3 linked regions of the Kluyveromyces lactis genome follow. The protein of the gene in region 2 purifies or fractionates together with the protein of the main gene of each other region. This does not show direct contact. Links are inferred from orthologs where the notes say so. Each region holds a gene or a part of one and is shown on either strand. Other genes may lie near its edges. The genes, in order: ARP7, RSC9 and STH1.

The links.
Region 1: the proteins of RSC9 (region 2) and ARP7 purify together in Saccharomyces cerevisiae (affinity purification with mass spectrometry; 5 studies listed by BioGRID). This does not show direct contact. The link is inferred for Kluyveromyces lactis from reciprocal best matches to the Saccharomyces cerevisiae genes RSC9 and ARP7.
Region 3: the proteins of RSC9 (region 2) and STH1 purify together in Saccharomyces cerevisiae (affinity purification with mass spectrometry; 7 studies listed by BioGRID, with this or other methods). This does not show direct contact. The link is inferred for Kluyveromyces lactis from reciprocal best matches to the Saccharomyces cerevisiae genes RSC9 and STH1.

What each region holds. Positions count from the first base shown.
Region 1 is NC_006041.1:566,774-570,123, reverse strand, and holds ARP7 (Arp7p), read left to right. Parts: upstream 1-1,498; coding exon 1,499-2,815; downstream 2,816-3,350. Other genes in the region: EAF6 (Eaf6p), read right to left, coding at 701-1,048. UniProt on the Saccharomyces cerevisiae protein: Component of the chromatin structure remodeling complex (RSC), which is involved in transcription regulation and nucleosome positioning. RSC is responsible for the transfer of a histone octamer from a nucleosome core particle to naked DNA.
Region 2 is NC_006040.1:880,750-884,502, reverse strand, and holds RSC9 (Rsc9p), read right to left. Parts: upstream 2,355-3,753; coding exon 660-2,354; downstream 1-659. Other genes in the region: RPM2 (ribonuclease P), read left to right, coding at 1-326; double-strand break repair enhancer MSC1, read left to right, coding at 3,597-3,753.
Region 3 is NC_006042.1:436,763-440,507, reverse strand, and holds the start of STH1 (RSC chromatin remodeling complex ATPase subunit STH1), read left to right. Parts: upstream 1-824; coding exon 825-3,745. Other genes in the region: RRT14 (Rrt14p), read right to left, coding at 1-170. UniProt on the Saccharomyces cerevisiae protein: Catalytic component of the chromatin structure-remodeling complex (RSC), which is involved in transcription regulation and nucleosome positioning. RSC is responsible for the transfer of a histone octamer from a nucleosome core particle to naked DNA.

The sequences.
Region 1 (3,350 bases), on a different chromosome or scaffold from region 2:
GAGACAAAAACAGTTATTTGCTTCAATTGATGTCTAATCCGATTAAACGATCAACAATTGGGTACCTTTTCAAACGCTCCTAATCGACAGCAATTCACGATTCTGTCTTTGTTCTCATTGGTTTGTTTGAATGTGTAATTGCTGCTCTATCTTTTGTTATAATAATATCTAATTCTTTGAAGCTGAAAATTTCAAGGTTTTGGCAGTTTCTGAAAATTGATTGGCTGAGTGATACTCCAATTAACAATCAAGAATGGAGGTTAGAATTCATGCTAACCACACATACATACACCATTACATAGCACCTGAGTCTCATCTAAGACATTGGGACAATTCGGTTGGACTGGAAATCTGTAAACGATTCAATCCTTTGCTTCTACGAGTAGTTTGACGCAAGTTTTATTGATTAAACTGATTCTATGATCGTTGATCTGACGGATGAAAAGAAAAAGAGGCCTCTCAAAAATTAAGGGTAAGTAATTGAAAATACTTTAGGAAGAGAGAATACATAATGTTACAAAGTGATTAATTATCACGAGCATTTAAAGAGTGCTTCAAGAGAAATAGATGCGGGGTAAAATAATACCGTTTTTCTTCCCCCTCCCTTAGTTTCTCTTGTCTCTTGTCTCTTGTCTCTTGTGTCCGGTGTCCTGGACCTGGATATGTCTCAGTGAAGAGGGCAAACAGATAAGCTTCCTGTTCAATCATTGGACTTCGTTTGTTCTTGATGATTGGAAGCAGCCAATTGTTTTGCAAAAAGGTACGAACTTAATGAAAAAATGCGATCATTATCGTCCAATGGCTGGGCATTTGACGAATGTGAGTGGTCAGACAATATCTGCTGCGCAGAACTGCTCTTGTTGAAACCCTGAAACCCGAGCAGAATGTTCCCCATTCTGGAAGATGGTTTCTGTGATAGATACTCTGTTTCTTTATCGTATACCTCTTGCTCTAAACTATTCCACTTGGCTTCGAGTTGTTTCTTCTGTACTAAAGCATCTCGAAGCTTCTTCTTTAGTTTCTCGTATTCTTTCTTTTGTTCGTCCATAGTTGTGTGAGATGAGTGTTAGGTTATGTTAAATCACTTTACCGATAGAGTAGAACACAATCAAAACCAGATTCAAATCCGTTCGATAGCGGATCGTCTGTTTCATCCTTTCTTGTTATTATATATGCAAATTGGATGTTGAAGTAGTGCGTTCTTTCAAACAATATTAACATTGGCGACGAGTCCGGGTAACAGTACTGGAACTCAGTTTGGAATTTGAAATTCGAAGAACCGACGAAAAAAAAGCCAACATGTAAACATCAACATAAACAGTGTTATCAACTCTAGTATCCCGTTTAAGAGCCATAATTTTCCATTGATAGCAGTTATAATCGGCAAAAACAGGTAGCTGTTGAAGAAGTTAATCCTTATCTGCTTTTGAAAATTGAAGATCTTCTCTTTGTTCTGGTGCATATAGAGTGATTACGTTATATCTATTGCAAGTTCAAGATGCCGACCATGAAGAGTGTGGTGATACAGATCTCGCAGACTAGGGTTATTTGTGGGTTCAGCAACCAAGATTTGCCGCAGTTAATTGTACCATCTCAATATTTGGCCTATAAAAGAGATGGATCGGATGTTAAAGTTTTCGGTAAATGGGAAATGATAGAGCATTGCGACGATGAGAGCGCTGAAATATACCAATTGTACGATAAGAACGGACTTCCAAATGATTGGGATATGATGGATGCTCAATGGCAGTACATCTTTCAAAGCCTAGGCATACAGTTCGAAGACTATCCAGTATGTGTTGTCTTACCTTCCGACTTAAACAGTGCGCGTCGTAAGAGATTTATGGAACAACTGTTGGGGTACGGTTTTCCAATGGTCCAACTTTTGAATGAGGCTGTCTGCAACACGTTGAGTCAGGGAAGATCGAGTGGAATTGTGGTGGACATTGGCCACAGTGGAGTGAAAGTGGACGTTGTCATTGATGGTGTTCTTTTCAAACAATACCGCAAGGAGAACAAGATCGGTGGTGCATTCTTAAACTGGCAGATCTGCGATCAATATTTGAAGCAGGATTCGGGCAAATCAACGAAAATCTGGAGGGATGCCACTGAATGGCTACCCAACTTCAAGAATAGCATGCTGCAAGTTTCTCCGATTGAATTGGATGCTAATTATGACGTGGCTCCTCATTACCAACATATGGTGTCACCAATGGACTTGACCAAAAATTTCCTACTCGATAAGAAAACTCTCACCTTCACTAACAAACAGCTATACACCATTGGAGAACTCTTGTTCAAGCCAGTGATACACGTAAGTAACAATGCAAACGGAGATGTAGAAATGGCAGATGTCAATGACATAGAGAAAAAGCCACATCCGGAGAAATTAATTGGGGTCATTGGATTGATCAGAGCATGCATCCAAAGTTTATTAAATGGTGTCAATGCAATGTCCACCGCAGGCAGTAACACTACAGGGTCCTCCACTACGACGGGTAATGCTTCCTCGGGCAACCAAAGCAACAACAACGAGGATACGAACATCCCAACGCACAGCTACACTTCTGAACAACTACAAAGTCTACTGCTTACGAACATTCTAGTGACAGGAAGTACCTCGAACATTCAGGGTTTAGAGCAAAGAATATTGAATGACGTTTCAGTCTCCCTAAACGATCTAACCACAGTGAGGCCTAAGATCCTTTTCAAACAGACCAAATTAGACAGAAACTTCCAATCATGGCAATCTGCAACAACCTTATGCAGACTACCGTTGCGCGAATCGTTACATGCGTGGGAATCTATCGAATGAATGGCGATATCCACCTGCCCTACCTCTCACTCAACTGGCAGTATAAAAATATAATAATGTACGTACCGGATAATCTTCAAACCCAAGAAAACTTAAACCAAATAGTATTAATCCACGTGACCGGATCTGGAATAGTAATTGCGAAGAAGGATAATTTAGAGGCGCTGATCCTTTTCAAGAAAAGGTACCAAAATAGTAAGACAATACCCTAAAAGAAGGCATCCATTCTCTTTCAACAAGCATTTTCGCGTATAAAATGATAGAAAAAGACGCGTTCCGGGAAGATTTGACTCACTCCGAAAAGAAACGTAGTACGTTTCTTTTTTAGAATTTCCTCCTGGAAAAACAAAGGGACACCAGAAAACTCCGTAGAGACGTGGAATAATTATCTAATTATTCAAACACATGTACGCATTTAGATTAGGTATTATCAAGAATCTTCCTTTGAATTGCTAGGATAACGTAAACAGTGTGACATGGAGGGGAGGCTTATCAGAAGGTAAACACAATGTCCCTGATGACCCTTGGGTCATCA
Region 2 (3,753 bases):
CCAAACTCGAAAACTACATGAGATTCAGGGGTTATCTTAAAACAATAACTTTCACCGAAGACCAAATGTTGCAGTTGCTCAATATATGGCAAAAAATTAACCCAATTTTGGTTGACAATTTGTTCAACAACATCGTCGAATCAGTATGTTTGAACAACGCTGTAAAGGTTATAAACTTCAATGATAATGGTTCTTTTAACGTTAGCAAGACCTCGCTAATGGTACTTTTAGATTCCATTTCTGCCATTTACAAATCTGAAGGCTTATCTGATCATCATTCTAAAGTGGAGAGTTTCAAAGATATTATAGATTCTTCCATGCACTAAACAACTTTCTGCTGATGTTACCTTATTCTTACTATACTTCTATCATACTTTCCATGAACAATCTGTCTCATGAAGAAAGTTTTATTTATTTATTATTTGATGAGTTTTACGATTATTATGACAAAAATGGGTTTACGCTGATCCATTCGATACAAAATTCTGATATTGTCAGAATTGCTATCATCTATTTTTTATTTTGTTTCACCATTTTTAATTCAATTTTATACATTAGTTAGGTCTCCCGTTGTTTAATTTTTACCTTTAATCGATACGTTATACATTTAATTATTACAAAACTACAACTTTAATTACTCTATCGGCCTAACGGTAAGTTCAACCTGAATGTATGAAGTCCAAAAGAACAGTATTTAAAGGTGGCACGTCAGCAATTTGATGTAATATCAAAGGTTTCATATCATGAATAAATTGTGCCACGATCTCGGTACTATCGTTAGAAACAAGTGAAAGGAATGACGCACTTGCTTTAGATACATCAGAAAGATTCTCGGGGAAAACAATATCTGGCAAACAAATTTGAACTGCTTCCGATGGAGTATTGTTGCTTTCAAATTCATCCGGGGTTTCAGTCTGTATAGGCGAGGACTGGTCAATATCTTTATTTGCCTCTACGATTGAAAGAGCTTTTCTGCGAGGCTGTATACCTCTTATTACAAATTTTTTCTTCGACGTTGCTTCATCTACAACTACCAAAGCGGATGCACCGGGCAAAGCATTCGAAACATTTTTAATGAAATCAACGGCAGTTATCAATTTTCGATCTGTTAGTTTTACTTGTTCGCTGAATGTTTGTTCATAAGTTTTCCATAGAAGAATCTGTGTTACTTCGCCATTCAGAGATCTCTCAAAGCAGCATCTCAACCAGGAAGTGGCACGCATTGGTTCGTTTAGCTCAAATAATTCCTTGAGCAGTGGCATTGGCAATTCAGGCGCGTGTGCTGGTGGTTGAGGTTTTACCCTCTGTATAAGTTTGATATTAGTATTCGAAAGGGCATGATAATCAGGGGTTGATACATGATACGTGAGGAGAACAGGGAGAGTACTAACTAGGATATCATATCTTTCCTTATGTGATAGTAATGTCTTTATTCTCTGATGACCAGGTAATATATATTGATAAAGGAAATCTAATGAAGCAATTATTAACTCTTCATCCCTATCAATTAAAAGGTTATGAACAATCTTGTTCAACAAACTATCATCCAAATTATCTGCTGCACTCTTTTGGTCCGATTTAGATCTCACCAAGAGTCTAGATAATGATCTCAAAATTGAGATCACGCAGTATCTATCCTTTGTATCACGAAATATCAAACAGAGGTTTTGGAAATATAGATCGTCTTTTTTTGCTGGTGCAATATAAGATGAAATCGCCTCCATTAAATCAAGAGTATAGATTAACAATTCGTTGAAACTGGATGTATGTGACTGATAGATTGCCGAATCCTTCGAATTGAACGTATTTGCCCACTCCAACACGAACAATATGAACGATTTCAATTCCATATCGGTGGCTAATATCGAAGTGTTTTCCGAGTCCTGTGCCAAATTTCTCAAAAGAAGCATTGTAATTGAACCTTTTTGTAGGGCTTCAAAAGCCTGATTGGAAATTGGGCCAACAAGCTGTGGAATGTATTCTCTGCATGCTGTAATCAAGGGCATAATAATGGGCAACAAATCCAAATTCTCATTCAATTTGATAACATAAGAAGCGTTAATGCTATACCGTAAATATCTTTTCAATGCAAATTTAACTTCTTCGTCTATTCCACTTAACAATGCCATCTTCATACGGGTGAGATCATCAACACCAATCTTAGAGTTTACAGGCAAATGATTGAAGATAGGCAAACTGCCTAATGATTGTTGCAACCCAGCAACAGGCTTAGCGGTAATACCATTGGTCTGGTCTCTGCTAATATTTAATTGTGTTGCGGGCAATGTCTTCAAGCTTGGAATCGCTGTTTCTCCTTCAGCATTGATCACCGGAGTGACTGAATGGCTGGACATCTATTGATTTGTGAAGCACTAGGTATCACACAAAACTAGAAAAAAGCGAGTCTCCGAAAGAAGGTGTGTTTAAGGTATCTAGATCGCCGATATAGGTACAAAGAAAGTAAGCTCCATCTAATTAGTCGCGTTTTCCTTTTCTGTCATTGTACATATTAAGAAGTCCATCTCGAATCTTTCGTTGTTTTGCATGTTGTTGAATTTCGAGTTCAATAATACGGCTTATATCCGGGTAAATGATTACATAAATGCTCTCCGTACATAGTAACAAGGACAGATTAAAGACTATATGCTGTTGCTTAGTGATTCTAATCATAGTTCTGACAGTTAGGTTTATCCTCTTTATGAACACTGACTATCCCCTCTGTGACAGCCTAAGTCCTTTTCAAATGGTTATGGGAACAACGAGTTTAAATTCACCTCCCTGGCAATTGACGTTGATCATGTGACCGAAAAGTGGTAATTCCACGCTAAGGAACGGATCATCAACCGATGATTCAGTGTAATCTCAACATCAAATCGACTCAAACGACCCATTGATTCTCTTCCTTCTTTTCCATTTCTGCCCTGATTCAAACACATTCTAATTACCTAATTAGTTTCCTAGACCCTAACTCCCCCAGAGTTATCACTCTCAGTGATCTGATCTGATTACTTACTCATACATACATCAAAGCAAATTCCACACATCACGGCGTCCGGAAGAATTTTTACCTTAAGGCACAATACAAATGGTGGCATTGCCATCTGCAATTTTAAGACACAGTCGTCCTTTTGCATCGTTTCTTGCTGCCATTAGCAAACCGCAAAAGTCATTTCTTTAACATTAGCAAAAAGACGTCTTTAGAATCCAAAAAATAAGGGAAAAAGGTAACGGGTTAGCGAACATCATAACTGACGCTATTGTGAGCTTGGCTAGACCATGCGTGAGTATATCCATGTCACCCTACCCCTTATTATAAGTGTGTAGAGCTATTATTTGGAACTAAGTGTGGCCATCGATTTTTACAACTTAGTGTGATGCATTGTCACTGTCAACTAGAAGTTTGTTCTGGCAATTCCCATTCTATATATATATATATATATATATATATATCAACAAACGTGGAACACTTTCTCTTGCTTAACAACTGGCATTTTTAGGCTTAGGTATATTTGTATAGGATATCATTTAAAGTGTCTGTTATTAATAAGATTTATTGACATAGCTTATTACACAGAATAACAATATTAATACGCAGGATGAAGCTTAGTAGTGCTTTGATATTTTGTGCAGCTGCTTGCCAAGTAGTTATTTGCAACAATCTATTTGAAAATTGGTCTAGTCAAGACATTATTCAATATTTGAAGGACACTGGTGACTCTGCTAAAAAGGATGCAGACACTTCACTTGAAGAAT
Region 3 (3,745 bases), on a different chromosome or scaffold from region 2:
TCTTGTACCTCTACTCTTTTCTTCAAGTTCCTATCTATTAGTTGTGCTTTCGAGCCTTTGTCTCGGCTTGTTTTCTTTCTTTCTGCATTAACCGACGCAGAACCCGGCAGTACGCTTTGCAACAATGCGTTCACAGCGTTGGTAGCATGAGCAGCTGCAAGAGATGACATTATAATCAGAGAATTTTAGTTCTTCAAACCTTGATTGTCAATACAGAAGACACTTTTGTAACAGTTCGAAGCACTGTAACTATCTCAATCGGGGAACTTGATAGTTCACTCTCATCACATCTCATCTAATCTCATCTCATCTCATCCATGGCGTATTATCCAAATTTTCATTTTAGGTCATGAAATATTAAACAAGAAAAGAAACAATGGTGCCCACTTTAATGCGAATATTTTGGCACGTGATCGAAGTTGGTTTATTACCCGGTTCTTGTTGTTGTTACCCGTACTTTGGCCCATGGCAATAGTGAATGTCAAAGAAAAAAGTAAACACGATAAATAAAATTGTGAAAAAGAGGATGAATTTGAAAACAGTTTGATTTTATTCTGAATTTAGTTTTGACACGAGAAAAGGACGAACAGAGGTTTGTTTTCAACACGGCAACGGCGGCTAAAAAAATAGACGCACCGAAAGCGAAACAGTAAAGAATTCTAGGGCAATAGTACCTGTTTGTATCGCGTTAGCTTTGTGACAACTCTGAATTTTTTTAGCAGGACTTCAGTTATTGTTTTACCCCCTTTCAGAATAAAAAAGGTTTAAAGCTCACTAGCGGGAAGAGACCTGGATCACGTTAAGAAGTGTGAAATAAAACAACAATGGATCAAGTCGTCGTAACGAATAACGCGGATACAGCGCCTCCTTATCCGCTTCCTATAGTGAATTCTGAGAATGTTGATAATGGGAATTCCGAAACTGAAAACCAGGACGTTAACGGCAATATCGAAGACAACCATGTTGGTGCTGACAAAGGAAGCAACAACAATTTTCGGAACGACAGTGGTAGTGCTATTGGACAGAACCAGATTGCCGCTGTTCTAGAAGAAATGAAGAAGGTGGAAAGAGTAATCTTGCCACTACCTGAAACGAAAGAACAATTAGAAAATTTGATTTATCGTTACAGATACATTTCTCAATATAGAGATCATAATAAGCTTGAAGTTGAGGCTATTGAACAAATTTTCACCCAAATCTCGGATAAACAGGAAGAGTACAAGGAAAGGCTGCTGAGGTTAAGAGAAAACGCAGCCAAAGATATTCAGTGGGACGAAAAGTTGTTGAAGGAGCAAATGGTAAGCTTACAGCTTTTGAGTAAAGATATAAATATACCGGATGGCCTCTTAGAGGATGATGATGATGAATCAGTAAGTTCCGACAGTTCTGATATCTCGGTACAACTGGAGAAGGTTAAACTTTCTGTTGATTTCGACGAAACAAGTGTGCGCTTAGGCCTTCCCGAAGCTTTAAGCAACTTTCGTCTTAAATCTGGAAATGAAGCCTCGCTTGGAGATTGGGAGGTTGAAAAAATAATCTCCACACTCATTGCGAAAAGAATTAAACAACTTGAAAATCTACCCTCTAATTTGGGAACATATTCTTTAAATGATGCGCTTGATTTTGTAACTAAAGATGATATTCCTACCGGCGCAGACGACTTCAAGTTAAGAGCTTTGGTGGAGCTCAAGTCCTTGAAAATGCTAACGAAACAGAAATCTTTGAGAAAGAGGCTGATTGAAAGTGTTGCAGCTAAATCGCATAATATCATTCCATCTCTCCGTGACTCTCCTTATACTTTAGCAGCTCAAAGATCCATTCATGTTAGACCGAAGACCATCGTTCCACAAACTGCTAGATTAGCAGAAGAACTTGAAAGGCAGGAATTGGTAGAAAGCAGGAGAAGAGAAAGAAACTTACGGTTACAAAGGATCAATAATATTGTATCAAGTATCAACGAAAGATTGGAGAATGATACAACACAACGTGATCGCTGTTATCAAATGGGTAGATCTATCGGAAACTTGCATGGTCATTTGGAGAAAGATGAGCAGAGAAGAATGGAAAGAACTGCCAAGCAACGTTTAGCAGCCTTGAAGTCCAATGATGAAGAAGCATATTTGAAATTGTTAGACCAAACCAAAGATACAAGAATTACACATCTATTGAAACAAACTAATTCTTTCTTGGATTCTCTTGCTCAAGCGGTTAGAGTGCAGCAAAATGAGGTACGCATCAAAAGGGGTGAAGAAATTCCTCCAATCACGGATGAAGAAAGAGAAAAAATTGATTATTACGAGGTTTCCCACAGAATTAAGGAAACAGTAGACAAACAGCCAAGCATATTGGTTGGAGGCACGTTGAAAGAGTATCAACTAAAGGGTTTAGAGTGGATGGTGTCTCTATACAATAATCATCTTAACGGTATTCTCGCAGATGAAATGGGTCTAGGTAAAACAATTCAATCCATCTCGTTGATCAGTTATCTTTATGAAATAAAGAACGAGAGGCAACCATTTTTGGTGATTGTCCCTTTATCCACCATCACGAACTGGACTATAGAATTCGAAAAATGGGCACCTTCTCTAAGAACCATTGTGTACAAAGGGAACCCAAACCAACGTAAGGCTTTGCAACATACAATCAAAATGGGAAATTTCGACGTGGTTCTAACTACTTATGAGTACATTATAAAGGATCGTCCACTGTTGGCCAAACACGATTGGGCTCATATGATTATCGATGAAGGTCATAGAATGAAAAACGCTCAATCAAAACTATCTTACACGTTGACACATTACTACAAAACAAAAAATAGGCTAATTTTAACGGGTACTCCATTGCAAAATAATCTACCAGAATTGTGGGCTCTATTAAATTTTGTTTTACCTAAGATCTTTAATTCCTCAAAAACATTTGACGAATGGTTTAATACACCATTCGCGAACACAGGTACTCAAGAAAAGCTAGAAATGACAGAAGAAGAAACGCTTCTAGTTATTAGAAGATTGCACAAAGTTTTACGTCCATTTTTGTTACGTCGTTTGAAGAAGGAAGTCGAAAAAGATTTACCTGACAAAGTTGAGAAGGTTGTGAAATGTAAGCTATCAAGTCTCCAGCAGCAACTATACGAACAAATGTTAAAACATAATGCTTTCTTTATTGGTGCAGGAACAGAAGGTGCAACCAAGGCTGGTATCAAAGGTTTGAACAACAAGGTCATGCAGTTAAGGAAGATATGTAATCATCCATTCGTTTTCGATGAGGTTGAAAATGTTATCAACCCAACGAGAGAGAACAGCTCCATTTTGTATCGTGTTAGTGGTAAATTTGAACTTCTAGACCGAGTTCTTCCAAAATTTAAAGCGTCAGGTCATAGAGTATTGATGTTTTTCCAGATGACTCAAGTTATGGATATCATGGAAGATTTCTTAAGGATGCGAGACCTTAAATATATGAGATTGGATGGTGGTACCAAAGCAGAGGATAGAACTGGAATGTTAAAACTGTTTAATGCACCCGATTCTGAGTACTTCTGCTTTTTACTTTCTACCAGAGCTGGTGGGTTAGGTCTAAATTTGCAGACTGCTGATACGGTCATTATTTTCGATACTGATTGGAATCCTCATCAGGATTTACAAGCCCAAGATAGAGCTCACAGAATTGGGCAGAAGAACGAAGTTCGTATTTTGAGATTAATAACAACCGATTCCGTCGAAGAAGTTATTCTAGAGAGAGCAATGCA